3 linked regions of the Drosophila melanogaster genome follow. The protein of the gene in region 1 interacts with the protein of each later gene in a pairwise test. Each region holds a gene or a part of one and is shown in the gene's direction. Other genes may lie near its edges.

Region 1 (5,069 bases):
TCGAATCGCCACTGAAGGACTAAACTAAACAAATTTCCCAACTGTCTCTTGCAGAAACTCTTCCTGGTCGCTTTTGCCGTGATCGCAGCCGTGGCTGCCGATGTCAGCCACCTGCCCTCCAACGAGTACCTGCCTCCCGTCCAGGAGCAGCAGATCATCGCCGGACCCAGCAACGAGTACCTGCCTCCCGTGCAGGCCGAGTCTGCCCCCGCCCATGAGCTGGCCGATGATGGCTACCGGTACAAGACCCACAAGCGCGTGGTGGTCCGCCGCCACCGCCGTGACGTCAACGAGCTCTTCAACGAGTACCTGCCCCCCTTCGCAGCTCCTTCCAACGAGTACCTGGCTCCTGCTGAGGGTGCTCCTGAGACCATCTTGGCCGATGATGGATACCGTTACAAGACCCACAAGCGCGTGGTAACCCGCCGTCACCGTCGTGATGTGAGCCACTTGCCCTCCAACGAGTACCTGCCCCCAGTCCAGGCTGCTGCTCCTTCCAACGAGTATCTGCCCCCAGTGTCCGCCCCCGTCCAGGTTGCTGCCCCAGCTCCCGCTCCAGTTCAGATCGCCGCCCCTGTCCAGCTGGCCGCCCCCGCTCCTGTCGTGGTTGAGGCTGAGCCCGCCCATGAGCTGGCCGATGACGGTTACCGTTACAAGACCCATCGTCGCGTTGTTTACCGCCGCCACCGCCGTGACGTCAACGAGCTCTCCAACGAGTACCTGCCCCCCTTCGCAGCTCCTTCCAACGAGTACCTGGCTCCCGCTGAGACTGCTCCTGAGACCGACTTGGCCGTTGATGGATACCGCTACAAGACCCACAAGCGCGTGGTAACCCGCCGTCACCGTCGTGATGTGAACGAGCTCTCCAACGAGTACTTGCCTCCCGTGCAGTCTGCTCCCTCTGCCGAGTACCTTGCCCCCCAGGAAAACACCGTCGAGGCGGCTCCCGCCCATGTCCTGGCTGATGATGGATACGTCTACAAGACCCACAAGCGCGTTGTGTTGCGCCGCCACTAAATCATCCGATAAAGGCTTCACTAGGTGATCGAATTGTGCTCATTTTTGAGTGCAGACCCTACTATTAGAATACCTCTTTTTCATTCAAATACAATAATACGATAACGAATCCATACATTCAGCTCTTTTTAATTTTATTATGTTGGGTGTACGAGCTGGGTGATAAAAGGTTATATGTATAGAATTGACTGAAGGAGGAATATATTCGGATAAAACATAAATCTTTGCGGATAATATATAAACCAGAGAATAATAAAAAACGACAAAGTTTTTAAACATGTATTAACCTATTTAAAAATAATAATTTAATGTAATAATATAAAAAGGTTTTAGGGCTAGAATATATTCATTATTTCACGATCTAATTATACACATAAGAACGTGGGATTAGAGAAGCAATATACACTTGACACATAATCGAAATTGAAATCTATTTATGCCGAAGCTTCCGCAATCTCATCTTCAAAAAGTTCAAGCCTGCTTAACGCTTTTAGACCATTTACCTACAAAAGTAAGGGTATGTTAACTTTCTTGGATGGTGTGTCTTTTTAATATGCCGTTATTAATTTAATAGGTTTTTATGACCTAAACGCTTATGTAATTTATTAAAATGTTATTTTATAGTGGATATATTATTTATATACGATTTGCAATTAAATATAGAAACGTTTTGTTAGCAGAATCTAGTTCGAGGAATAGAATTAATTACCCCGTTTTATTAATGTTTTCCTTCGACTCTTCATAAAAGGTAATTTTTCCAAAAGTGTATTCAGTTCATTTTGTTCAGGTTTTCTTTCAGCCGGTGATATACAATCGCTTTCGACAGTCACATCTATGTATTGTTTCGGCATTGAGGTCGTGATTTATTTCCGCAATTTGATTGCTTTTTCGGCAGTCATTTCGCTTCTTACCAACTGTTTTTAGCCTTTTCTCCGCTCCGCTATCGAACATCTGCTTTTATTACCCGAAGTCATAGAACCCGATTAGTACCAGTTGATTAAGCCACAATATAATTATCGACAATTAAGCAAATTGAGCTGGGGTGGGTCGGAATTGGGAATCGAAATTGGCACGCGTTTGGTCTGGGAGAAATTGGCAAGTGCGGATAGGGGAACAATGGAACCTGATCTTGGCCACTAAGTATTAACGAAATATACTTAAAATATTAAGTGGCCGTTTGGATGATTTGGCGGTTAGGCCGGGGGTGAAAGGGGGACTCCCAAATCGTGGCTCATGATCTCGCTGGAGTTGAGCAGAGCGCAAAACCCGTTGCAAACCTGCTTGCAAAACTATAATGGATATGTTTTGGCGGTGTCACTAAATACAAATTCATAAATTAAATAGTCAAATGCAAATTTCTCGCCGCAGGCCGGTGATTAGAATCATATAAATAAGCCGCAGAACATTGTCTAAGGCATCACTTCCACTTGCACTCTCCGTTCAACTGGACAGCCGAGCACCCAGCAAAATGGTATTAACCAGGAACGGTGCGCCATTAGGATAATCAGCTAATATGTGCCATTTTCTCCATTGCAGAAATTCTTCTTGTTCTGCGCCTTCATCGCCGCCGTGGCCGCTGATGTCAGCCACCTGCCATCTAGCCAGTACCTGCCCCCCGGCCGTGGAGCAGCATCGGCTCCCGTGGCTTCCTACTCTGCTCCTTCCCAGAGCTACAGCGTAGAGGCCTCGGCCCCAGTTGCCTCCTACTCTGCTCCCGTTGAGTCCAGCTACTCCGTTGCTGCTTCTGCTCCAGCGGTGTCTTATGCTGCTCCAGCTGTGTCCTACGCCGCTCCCGCCCAGAGCTACTCTGCTCCTGCTGCCACCTACACTGCTGCTGCTTCTGCCCCAGCTGTGTCCTACGCCGCTCCTGCCCAAAGCTACTCTGCTCCTGCTGCCACCTACACTGCTGCTGCTTCTGCCCCAGCTGTGTCCTACGCCGCTCCTGCCCAGAGCTACTCTGCTCCTGCTGCCACCTACACTGCTGCTGCTTCTGCCCCAGCTGTGACCTACGCTGCTCCTGCTCAGACCTACACCGCTGCCGCTTCCGCCCCAGCTGTGTCCTACTCCGCTCCCGCTGAGTCTTACGAGACCGCTGCCTCTGAGCCCGCCCACACCTTCTCGGCCAACGATGGATACCGCTACAAGACCCACAAGCGCGTGGTCCTTCGCCGTCATCGTCGTGGCGTGCCCTCCAACGACTACCTGCCCCCCTTCCAGGGAGCCGCTTCTGCCCCAACCAGTGAGTACCTGCCCCCAGCAGCTTCCGCCCCCGCTCCAGTCTACCAGAGCGCTGCCTCTGCCCCAGCTGTGTCCTACGCCGCTCCCGCCCAGACCTATTCCGCACCTGCTGTCTCCTACGCCGAGCCCGCCGAGAGCTACGAAACCGCTGCTTCTGCTCCTGCCCACTCCTTCTCCTCCAACGATGGATACCGCTACAAGACCCACAAGCGTGTGGTGCTCCGCCGTCACCGTCGTGATGTGAGCCACCTGCCTTCCAACGATTACCTGCCTCCAGCAGCCTCTGCCCCAGCTCCAGTGTACTCCGCCCCCGCTCAGAGCTACTCTGCTCCCGCTGCCACCTACACCGCTGCTGCCTCCGCCCCAGCTGTGTCCTACGCCGCACCTGCCCAGAGCTACTCTGCTCCTGCTGCCACCTACACCGCTGCTGCTTCCGCTCCAGCTGTCTCCTACTCTGCTCCCTCTCAGAGCTACTCTGCTCCCGAGTACTACAGCGGTGCCGCTTCCGCCCCAGCTGTCTCCTACTCCGCCCCAGCTGCTTCCTACTCTGCCCCAGCTGAGAGCTACGAGACCGCCGCCTCTGAGCCCGCCCACTCCTTCTCCTCCAACGATGGATACCGCTACAAGACCCAGCGTCGCGTGGTCCTCCGCCGTCACCGTTACTAGAGGCTCCAACGAACCCCCAGCGAACCGAGCCAAATCCTGTTATTTGACTCACGGGTTTCATCTGGGAAACGAAATTAATAAATTCATAAATAAAAAAAATATTGAAAAATACTTCCACTGCCTGATTAATTAATCGACTAACAGGAAACCCCATTGACGGGAGCCCCCTTATTTGCCTAACAATAATATTGCATAATAGAATAAGAAGTTTTGGCCACTAAAGCCAATGATTATCAGGCATTAATACCGAGCTGTCGTCAAGCGGAGACGATACAGCAACTGAAAAAACTAGTTCAAATCGAGATGCGGAAACTCGTTTAATGCTTCGAAATTAATTTTTTGTTCAGCAAGTGCATTGTCATCTGAAGCTTCAAGTTCAAAGTCAACCATAAGAAAATTCGAGGCATACTTTTTGGCCTTTGTAAGATTTATATGGATGTAGTAAGCATATAGTAAGTGTATATTTATGTAGTAAGTCCCTCGCGGCAGACTACAGAGTTAAAAAAAACCCAGTGAATTATGGATCTATTTTGTAAGGCAGACTTATTAAAAAATTTATCTTAGTAATATAAAAAGCCTCAATGTATAGCATTATATCCGTATCACAGAAAGACTTTTGTTATTCCGGCTAAAAAATAGCAGGTTGAATGATTCCAATGCTATCGCGTTACCGAAGTTTGAGCAGAATTATTAATTTCTTGTTGCCCAAATGTACTCTACTTTTCGGCAAGCCAGCACTATAAACTGCGATGTCTAAAAGTATGTGATTCGACCGAATTTTTAGTTTATTCTAGATGGGATCTGCTGTTTCACTCTAAGACTAGACGTCTTACCCTTCGACACACTGAAAGAAAACAGTAAGAACATAACATTCACATTGTCATTTTTAATTCGGCAGCATTGCGTAATCGTTAAAACATAAGTTTTAAAAACATATTTTAATGACTAAGTTCGATTGGAGATTCCGCAGGCAAGATCCCCGGTAAATCATTAATAATAGTTATTAAATAAAATATTACAGTAGACTACAATTATTCAATTTCGTACGTTCCTAAGGATCACTATGCGCACACAGAGGCAATTGTGTCATTTAATCAGTGATGAGAGGGCCAATCGACGGATGAGTTATTCAAAAGTCGAATGCGATG
Region 2 (6,338 bases), on another chromosome or scaffold:
CAGTTTTCAGATTTCAAAAATATACTCCAAACTTCATTAAATCTTATAAACCGTTTATTAAACATAAAAGTAAAATCTGAAATAAGTCGTTACACAATGCAAACTCGAAACCAGTCAATTTCTGGCCGTGTTCTCCTTGCCGCGCTCCCGTTTCTGCAGCTGCAGCTCCCTTTCGGCCATTCCCGCCTTCACCCAATAATGGGTCATCACATCCACCAAGGTGATGCGGCCCTTGCTTTCCTTGCGAAGCAGCTGCAAAGATGAAATCCCTGTTCAATAAATGGATCTCAAAGGAAACATCTTCCAACTCACCCCGCCAATCAATTCCTTGCAGCCCTTGGACAAATGCGATGGGTAGGAGATCTCCATGCGCCGGATCTTGCTGTAGGTGCTCTCCGTGCTGTTCGACTCGAAGGGCGGACAGCCGACGACGAACTCGTAGCACAGAATGCCCAGGCACCACTGGTCCACCGAGTCGTCGTAGGAGTTCCCATCCACCATCTCCGGCGGCAGATAGTCCAGGGTGCCGCACAGAGTCCTGCGCTTGTTGTTCGGCGTGTGCGCCGACCAACCAAAGTCGGCCAGCTTAAGGTCGTCCGTGCTGGTTAGCAGAATGTTCTCCGGCTTCAGATCCCGATGGATCACGTTGTTCAGGTGACAGTAGTTGAGGGCATTCGCCACTTGGTAGGTGTACTTCGCAGACCGCGGTTCATCGAATCGATGATTGGGTGCGCCACGCAGGTGCTTGAACAGCTCGCCCTCGGACGCAATTTCCAGGGCCAGATAGATGCGGCTCTCGTCGTGGAACCAAGTGAGCAGGCGCAGGATGTGCGGGTGCTTCAGTCGCGACTGGATCTCGATCTCGCGTAGAACCTGACGCTGCACGCAGCCCTTGCGCAGCTCCTCTTTGAACATCACCTTCATGGCCACCAGATAGTGCGAGTGGCGCTCCCGCGCCAAGTAGACACGTCCAAATTTGCCGCGTCCCAAGTGGGCGCCCATCTCAAAGTCCCGGGGACTCCAATCGTATCTGGAGGGAGCAGATTAAGTACGGATTGATACATTAGCTTATTGCTTGTACGTACGGCTGTCCGTATGCGTCGTGGGACATCATCTTGAGGCACATATTCTTGATCGGCTCCTGGTGCTCCTCGGGCACCTTGGCCAGCAGGTGCGGCAGGTGGTTGCGGTTGGCGTGCTTCGCGCGGGAAAGCGTCATGGCGCTGACTTGTTTATAATATTATGATTTTTAAGTAAATTAATTATTTTAAGTTGTATTTTCTATAAGCGTCCCTTTTGTTTGCGCGTTTTTTTCGAATGCTGAGATTAGTGTGACCGCATGCTAGAATCGAGTTATTCTGTGACTCTCAGTGAAGCAGTTAAGTCACTGTATTTTTAAATTCGGTCAACGTATAATAAAATATTTTCATGTTTCTTAAATAAAAATTAATCTTCTAGTTTTGTTCTTATATTGTGCATAGTTATTATAATATACGCTTCTCACCCGTAGGAGAATAGTTTGAGTGAAGGGCATAGAAAACTGTTTAATTATTATAAACCATAGCTACCAGTGCTCAAATCATATCAGATGTTTAATAGATTTATATTATTAGTTGTCTAAATTTATTTAAATATACAATATCAATAATATTTATATGTATATATAAATAAAAATGTTTTGCATAATATAAGTCTCGAATACCTCTAACTAACCATTGAAAATGAGCTGCAAAAAATCCTTTGGATTTCCCGACTATTCGCAATCTGGCCACACTCGCCATTAGTCATTTTTTACACAATAAACGTAAATTAAGCGAATTTGCAAGCGCTATTCGGAAGTTTTTAGGCTAATCGAAAAGATATAAGCAGCCCAAAAGAGATTTGGAAAAAAGCGAAAAGGTCTACGCAGGAGGAAGTACACCAAAAGCGTGCTTTCAGTCGCCGTGACGCACCGAAAATCGATTGGAGAGGAAAAACAATAGGGAAAACAGACAAAGATCAACTGATTTGGATTTATTGACCCCAGGGCAGCGCAGATTATTGGCAGATAGCCGAGCGAGCGGTTTGGTCATAAAGATGGGAATCTTTGGGCAGTCGTCGCCATTCGACGCCGACGTGGGTGAGTTACCACTTATCGTTAAGCTGTTGTGTTGGCCGATTGGACAAGCCGATGTTCCAATTGGACTGCACAACGGTCCAATATGCGTTTCATAGTTTTCTATTCTTATCTGGGGTCTAAAAACCCGCACACCACACCATTTTCCCCTGTTTTCCCTATGAACCCGATCCCCCGATTGAGCAGACAACAAAGAAAGTCATGTGAGATGCTGTGCGCAGCTCTGCGTCGTTCGTTGAACTTCTTATTGGAGTTGTTAGATGGCAGTCGCTGACCTTGAGTGACGTAGCACCCGCAGCCCCTCACACCCCCTCCGTTTACGCAGCCAACCCCCTCGCCATCCCTTAATGCAATTTAGTTAGTTTCCGATTGTATTGATTTTCTTTAGCTGCAATCAGTTTTCGAAGAAGCTTATCTTTGTTTTGCTGTGACTCAGAATATAAATTTCTATTTGACTGATAAGCTAATGCGGTTCATGCCTTTCTTGTTTTATAGAAAAGGCCACCAGCGAAACTAATACCAACGACAACTGGTCTCTGATTTTGGATGTATGCGACAAGGTAACGACCAATCCCCGCCTGGCCAAGGATTGCCTGAAGGCGGTGATGCGCCGCATGGGCCACACCGATCCTCATGTGGTGATGCAGGCGATTACGCTTTTGGACGCCCTGTCCAACAACTGCGGAAAACCGCTCCATTTGGAGGTGGCTTCACGGGATTTCGAGACGGAGTTCCGCCGCCTGTTGGCCAAAGCACAGCCAAAGGTTTCACTGGTGAGTACAAACAGTTTTAACTCACTTATTTCATTTCTAATTCCAATTATGATTCACAGAAAATGCGCCAAGTGCTGAAGAACTGGGCTGAAAACGACTATAAGAACGATCGAGAGCTCGACTTGATACCCGCACTCTATGCCAAGCTGCGCCAAGAGGGATATGATTTCAAGAATCTTGGCGATAAGACTAGCAAGACTGTTGCCGAAAAGGCCGCCGCCCTGCCCAAAGATCCGAATGTGGTCAGCAGCCAGCAGGAAGAGGATGACATCGCCAAGGCCATCGAATTGTCGCTGAAGGAGAACAAGGGCAGTCCAAAGACTGGGAGTGTAGCAAGTACCGGCACCGCCAGTGCCTATCCCTCATTGTATCCATCTTTCGCTGGAACCGGCTCGAGTGCACCGAGCGCCGAAGCCAGTTCCGCACCAGCGCCAGAGCCGAGAAAGGTTCGAGCTCTGTACGATTTCGAAGCTGCCGAGGAAAACGAATTGACCTTCTTTGCCGGCGAGATCATTCATGTGCTGGATGATAGTGATCCAAACTGGTGGAAGGGATACAATCAACGCGGCGAGGGTCTCTTCCCCTCGAACTTTGTCACTGCCGATCTGTCCGTCGATCCCGAGCGGCTGGACATCAATCAGCAGCATAAGTCGGCCGCCGCAGCCGGGCAACGAGAGTTGGATTCCGCTGCGGCACTGCAGCAAAAGACTGAAGCGGCAGCAGCTGCCGCCGCAGCTCAGCCTGTGGAGATCGACGAGTCAAAGATCGACCGGCTGCTGCATTTGCTGCACGAGGCGAATCCCGAAGATCCCTCGCAGGACAGCGACGAAATGCTGCAGCTGGAGCAGGAGGTCCATCAGATGGGACCGCTGATCGATGCCGAGCTGGAACGCGTCGACCGCAAGCACGCTCAACTGACGCAGTTGTCCAGCGACCTCGTCGACGCCATTAATCTGTACCATACCTTGATGCGGGATGACCGTGCTGCGGCTGGACATTTTGCCGCCGCTGCTGGCGGCTTTATGCCTGGACTTGCTGGTTTCCCGGGTGCCGCTCTGTACGGTGCTCCAGGTTATCCTGCAGCGGGTGGATTCCCACCGGCCCAAAATTATCCGGGCATGCACTCGATGCCATATGGCCCCGTACCAAATCCTCCCACTTCTGCTCCATCTCAGGCACCTGGAGCTCCTGGTGGCTATCTGGGTCAACCGCAGGGGCAGGTGCCACTGCCCTATCAGAACGGACATGCCGCACAGATGAACTGTTAGTACAAAGGATTAAAATACTTATTATATTTACCTATAATAACATTTTCAATCGTCTTTCCAGCGCTGCCAGCCCATTTGACTCAACCCACTGGCACTGCACCCATGCCCCAGCCAATCTACACTCAGCCGACTCCCGTGACCACCCAACAGCAGCAGCAGCCACTTCCACAGCACCCTCAACAGCCGCCACAGCAGCAAGGCCAGCAGCCCCCACAGCATCCCCAGAACAGCTACCACATCGACCCCCAGTCACAGTACGCCCAAGTTCCGCCCGCAGTCACACAAATCCAGCAGCCGCAGCAGCCACCGGCTCCGCACGCTTACATGTCGCCGCAGCATCAGCAGGCACCGCCACCACAGGGATACCAGCCAGGACCAAATCTTTATGGACCGAACGGATCGCCGGCCGTCGTCAACCCGCAGAGCTACATGTCCCCACAGCAGCAGCAGCAACAACACCCACCACCACACGATCAGTTTAGTCAGCTGCATCAGCAGATGGCCGCCATGTCCATGGCTGGCGGACCGCCAGTTGGGGCGCCCGGCTATCACATGCAGAACGATGCTGTCAAGAACAACATTCCTATCTACCAGCAGCAGCGGTAAGACCGCTGCACTAAAACAGAGACCTTCACTTGGTTCGCTTTGAATTGCCCGAGCAACTTTAAGCTTTGTCTTCATTCTGACAAAAGGATGTCATCGAGTATGTTAGTTTTGGCCAACTTGCCGAGAAACGGAAGTTGTCAAATCTCTGCTATGTACATTTTGAGAAGAGCAATTGTCAGTGAACCAAATATGTCGACTATCCTTTAAAATAACGAAAGAAGCCAAATTAATATCAAGTATACCCTTACGAGTTTTCGTTTTTTGTGTTTATATTTGGTCCAACGAAATGATATATTTTTCTGGAAGTAAGGCAATACCAGTCGAAAAAGATATATATACCATATAAATAATCTGTATTCAACAGCACGTATAACTTTGTATTTAGTGCAGGGGAGATAACTATTATGTATTATGTTTATTGTACGGATTATGATAAATCTAACGAAACGAATCACATTCATTAAAATCATAAAAATATACTAAGTAAACACAATGTCTTTGAAAATTGCAAGTCAAAAGCTTACGGCTACCCTTCTCAAATATTTTCAGCACTAGCAATCGATGTGGAATAATTTTCAAGAAAATTTTGGAAATCAGATGAAGTTTTTAGAAATTTTTTTAGTGATAAAGAAAGCAGATTATTTGTTTATTTCTCACTTGAATTGTTTGTTTATTTTTATGATATTTATTTAAATTTTCTTATCGATGCTATAAAACATGAAGGTAAAATTCTTTATGTAGGCTTCAGAAAGAGTAATCTGCATTGCTTTATAAACTGAAACAATTCAGCACGAGTTTTGGATTCGCACCCCTTTTAAACTTAACATGCTTAGAGCTCCATTCAACTGCGCTCATCCCCTTTTCGGAGAATACCTCCCTCCGCTCGTGTTAGTGCGCTTTTCCGATGAGATTCCAATATATTCAGACAAGCTTTGCCACATGCCACTGTCTCGCAATCCGGCAAACATGCAACAATTTAGCAAAATTCCATCCGGCATTCGGTGGCACAAATATCCTGTGAAATAAACTGTCAAAACGGGGCAGACAGACAGTATCTCAGCCTGGTAAATAGAAAATGCCAATGAATGCGGAGTGTCACCTGGAGTGAAAGAACGACGAGCCAGGAGACGGGCGAGAGCAGGCTATGCAAATATTTGCTGATTGTTGATTTCTATGGGCTGGCAAGTGGGTGGTTGTGGGTGGTGTTGTCTAGCTGCAAAAATGTCAACAAATGCATAGGTATTTTTTAAATTAATTGATTTTGCTGGCCTTGCACGCTTACATCGAATGGGCTGGGAAACGGGAAAATTTGGGCGAACTGGCTGGGGTCGTGGGAAAATCCTGCCCAGCCGAACACCTGAACCTTGTTCGTCCTGTGCCCTTTTTTTTTTTTTTTTTTATTATTTGACTTACGGTAGGAAAATTAAAATCTTCTAAAGATACCACCTACCGTCCGTAGGTGGCATGCACGATTCATAAGCCCTATTGGAATTATGCCTACGTACTAAAACAAAAACCTCCGCGTGCTCTACAGTCCTTGCTCGCTCACCGGGACTGCCAGTCAAGGTATGACTT
Region 3 (4,018 bases), on another chromosome or scaffold:
GGTGAGCCCCGGCCAGAAATGCCAAGTTGACCATTTTCTGGCCTTTGAAGGCAGCGTGTTTGAAGTGGGTCAAGTATTCGCCAATGCGATTACATCTCTTCAAATGGAAATAAAAAAGTTATTGATCCTCGTAACTGTGTATAATTATTAAAGTCCTTATGCGAATTATAAATGTCTAGATTTGTTTCTAAAAAAAAATTGTTTTTCATAATCAACTTACATATCCTAATAACTTCTTAAAACTGAAAACTTCCAATCTATCTAAAATTTAACCGGGTTCTCCATTTTATATTATTTTTGTTCTTTCATAAAAAAATAATTTGAAATTATACTTTTACTAGCTTGCTTTCGCAGCAGCATCACTGATAACGGTGCAAGTGCTTTCCTCGCTCTCTCTGTCACCGCTGAGCGAGAGCGTACTCGCACTCATTCATTATTTTTCATCTATTTATTCATAAATGCATTTTTTGCCCCTGCTATTTTCAGCGGCTCAAGAGTTTTAATTTTAGAAAGCACTGCTCCCTACTTTTCGTCTTTTTCTCCCGTAATATTTATGCAACATGCAATGCTGCTTTATTTATCTCTGTGGGAAAGAAAGCGTGGCATGTTTTTTGCGGTGTGTGGTGTCTTCTTGTTATTCCTGCGTGGGAGCGTCAGGTTCCAAGTTCGTTTCCCTAATTTTTTCTTTTGGTCCACAGATGGAAGGTTGGTCTAAAATGTGGAGTGACTCATAAAGGCTATAAATAGGCAAATTGATATTGTCTAAAGCTGGCGGTTAATGATTATTGATTGCTGACGTAGACGTCGATAGCATTTGTTGATTGTCAATTGGTTTTCCCCGATGACGAACGATTTTTGAGTCTATGATTTATTGGACTGCAGCTGCTCTGCTCCGCTCTCTCTTTTGAGCTCTGCTCCGCTCTCGCTCCTTTGATAAGCCCGCATATGCTTATGTGTGTGTGTGTGGTGAGGTCAGCGCATCAATTATGCTCATTTCTTGTCTTTTTCTTTGATAAAATCAGCGAACAACAAATGGGAAAGGGCGGGGGCAGGGCCCCGGCCAGACGGCGGCGCCCGAGATTTTTGGCAAATCAAAGCAGTCAGCTGTCCCCTTTGCTCATAATTAAGCAATGGGGAGCAGTGAAAGTGTGTCGACTACTAATTGGCACCTTGAATAATTGCACACCGATAAATAAAGTAGTGGCTTCCTTTTTCCTCTCAAGACAAAAGGGCGTCGCACTGCACTTACACACATACATGTACACCGCTCTCCCCTTCTTATCTCCAGTCTCTATACTTCTAACGCTGATTTTCAGCCGATTTTAAGCCACTTGCAACGTCAACAATTTTCACAACATTTCACATTTACAATGCAGTCTTTCTTTTCCTTCTTCTTTTCTTTTTGTTGGAAACGCATCCGCCATTTGCAAGCCACTTGTGTATGTGTGCCGGAGCGCTGCGCCTGTTTGAGTGTGTGTGTGTGTTGGGTTGTCGCGTCGACAGTTTTTTCATCACTTTGCTTGGATTTAGATACGCTTTATCAAACCAGTTCTTACTTGCAACTGTTAAACTTTTTCTCAACTTTCTTATGCCTTTCGGCTGCGGACTTACACTTTTTCGTTAGTGGGAAAATTGAAACATTTGCAAACAGAGTGACCGTGGCGACATACTCCAAAAATCGCGCCAGTCACATAATAGTCCTAAATTTGGACAACTAGCGATGACTCAAGCCGCCGGATAAATGCGCTATGTTTTTGTAGCCGAGACACGCTACGTGGGGAGAGCGATGTTTTTATCGTGGACACAAACCAAATTGAAATTCTTCACCGAAGATTTTATCGCGACTGTGCCATGGTCGCACTGATTAGCTCACCGAAACGTTCATTGAATTTGTTTTGATTATCTCGAAATAACAAGCTATTTTCTCAATTTTCCTGACAAAAATGACATCGATTGCCAAGTCCATAGTACTATTGGCATCCCTGGCCACGTTCGCTTACTCCCTGTACGTGGTTGGCAGCCTGATGATGTTCCTTTCGACGCCTCGTTCGATTTCCAAGGCGCACACCTGGATTTTCAATTTACTGGACAACAAGTCGCGCCTGCAGACCGCCTATGGACCCGTGGTGTTCGATACCCTCTACCTGATCGGATTCATCTTCCAGCACAGCTTCCTCAAGTCAGCCGTGGTCAAGAAGCTGTTGGCCAAGTTGGGATTGTCGGGTGCGGAGCGCACTATTTATAGCCTGACGTCATCGCTTTGTTTACATGTTTGTATACCCACAAATTGGACAGAAATAGCTCCCAACTGCAACTTTGGACATTTCAGTATTTGATCGTCAACTGGCTGCCCGCTCAGTCGATTGTTCTGTGGCAAATCGATGTGGAGCAGAGTGCTCCGCTTTGGTGGACCTTCGTGATCACCCATGGCATCTGCTGGGTTGTCATCTTTGGCGGCAGTTTGGTGATGGATCTGCCAGAGCTGCTGGGCGTCAAGCAAGCCTACTACGATCTGAAGGCCTACGGACCGCCCATCAGCTACAAATCCGGGGAATTGCGCAATCTGTACGCCCATGTCAGACATCCCTCGTTTGTGGGCCTGTCGGTCATCCTGTTCGCCACGAATGTGATGAGCGTGGATCGGCTAGTCATGGCCTTGCTGCTGACCACCTACATGTACCTGGCCTGGTCCACAGATCAGAAGGATGTGGCCTATCAGAAGATTCAACTGCAGCGCAAGAAACTCGAACTGAAGGCCAAGTAAACTTAATCTCAAAAGTGTTCTTACTAAGATCTAGTTGTAAGTTGACATGAGTTTGTATTGAATAATACTTTTCTAACAATTTCAGTTTCCGAATCAGAACGAAACAAATAATGAAAAAACTAAAAGATATATAAAAATATATATGGTTCAGTTTTTACTATTTTACTACTATTGCTAGCTTAATTAATTATTTTAAAATTTAACTCATTCTTACGATAGAAGGATCAAAGGGCTGTCCTTTAAACGGCGAACCTTCGGCATCCCAGGCAGCTTTCAGGCGATCCAGGTTTATAGCTTGGTCGGGACTTGAGGTCTGAATTTCATTTTGTTGCTTGTCTGCTGCCAACTGCTGGACCCTAAGCTTTTCTATGGTGGCCTGGGTTTCCTCCGGCAAATCATCTATATAGCGTTCGCATTCAATCTTCTTGGAATCGATTTCTGGATCACCTTCGAAGAGCCGATCCCACCAGAGCTCCTTTGCTTTATCTACAGTTATATACAGTTTATGAAAATGGTTTATAAAGATGTTTTAGGTGAATGCCCACCGTAACTTATGATCAATCGGTTCTGATCAATTGTCCACACCGCCTCCTTGTGTTTAATCCGCTGGCTCAGGTTTCCCTCGAGGATGATCGTCTCTGGGCTATGCTTGCTGCTCACTTTGATGTGCTGGGCCTGAATTGAAATGTGCAGCTTCTTCGCCGTTTGATGATCCTTGGGAAGCAGAGCCTGCACCTCCACATCCTTGAGGGTTTGTGACCAGCAGTGCGTTTCGAACACATCTCCGTTTTTGTAGTCGCTGGGGGAGAACTTTGACTGCTCCTTCCCTTTTTGTGGCGGCTGGCTCTCTATGGGTTTCATTTCCTCGTCCTGAGGACCATCTTCGCTTTCCAGGACCACTTCTTCGACGGCAGGCGGAGCCGTTTCTCCATCATCTGCACCGCCTTCCGCGGTCAGGGATTGTAGCAAGCAATCCGGATCGTAGCGCTGCATGGCGCCATATAGAATCTGATCCCTCACGCCTTTGGGGAAGCCTATTTTATCCGCTTCATCGCGTTTTGTGTGATAAAAGTCGGTGCTAAAAAGGGAAGTGGGACTACAGTTTTGTTAAGGATCTTGAGATAAAATCTTTTACTTGCGTCGCAGAAATCCGAAAATGGAGTCCAGGAAACCTGTAATAGTTTTCCGATCCTGCAGAATTTCCATGAGCATAGCATCGTTTCGCTGAAAGTCCATTTTTGTAAGAATAGTAAC

Evidence for each region.
Region 2: the proteins of CG11350 (region 1) and Stam interact in a two-hybrid assay, tested with the Drosophila melanogaster proteins (one large-scale study listed by BioGRID).
Region 3: the proteins of CG11350 (region 1) and CG7655 interact in a two-hybrid assay, tested with the Drosophila melanogaster proteins (one large-scale study listed by BioGRID).

What each region holds. Positions count from the first base shown.
Region 1 is NT_037436.4:4,480,359-4,485,427, forward strand, and holds CG11350 (uncharacterized protein), read left to right. Parts: upstream 1-2,450; 5' UTR 2,451-2,485; coding exon 2,486-2,488; intron 2,489-2,553; coding exon 2,554-3,921; 3' UTR 3,922-4,012; downstream 4,013-5,069. Other genes in the region: CG7465 (uncharacterized protein), read left to right, coding at 55-1,017; CG13722 (uncharacterized protein), read right to left, coding at 5,051-5,069.
Region 2 is NT_033779.5:10,856,759-10,863,096, forward strand, and holds Stam (signal transducing adaptor molecule), read left to right. Parts: upstream 1-1,777; 5' UTR 1,778-2,076; coding exon 2,077-2,119; intron 2,120-2,611; coding exon 2,612-2,889; intron 2,890-2,948; coding exon 2,949-4,152; intron 4,153-4,218; coding exon 4,219-4,763; 3' UTR 4,764-5,248; downstream 5,249-6,338. Other genes in the region: aurB (aurora B), read right to left, coding at 115-252, 313-1,030, 1,086-1,219.
Region 3 is NT_033777.3:17,680,846-17,684,863, forward strand, and holds CG7655 (uncharacterized protein), read left to right. Parts: upstream 1-1,823; 5' UTR 1,824-1,943; coding exon 1,944-2,270; intron 2,271-2,329; coding exon 2,330-2,764; 3' UTR 2,765-2,928; downstream 2,929-4,018. Other genes in the region: CG31251 (uncharacterized protein), read right to left, coding at 2,964-3,250, 3,310-3,842, 3,900-4,000.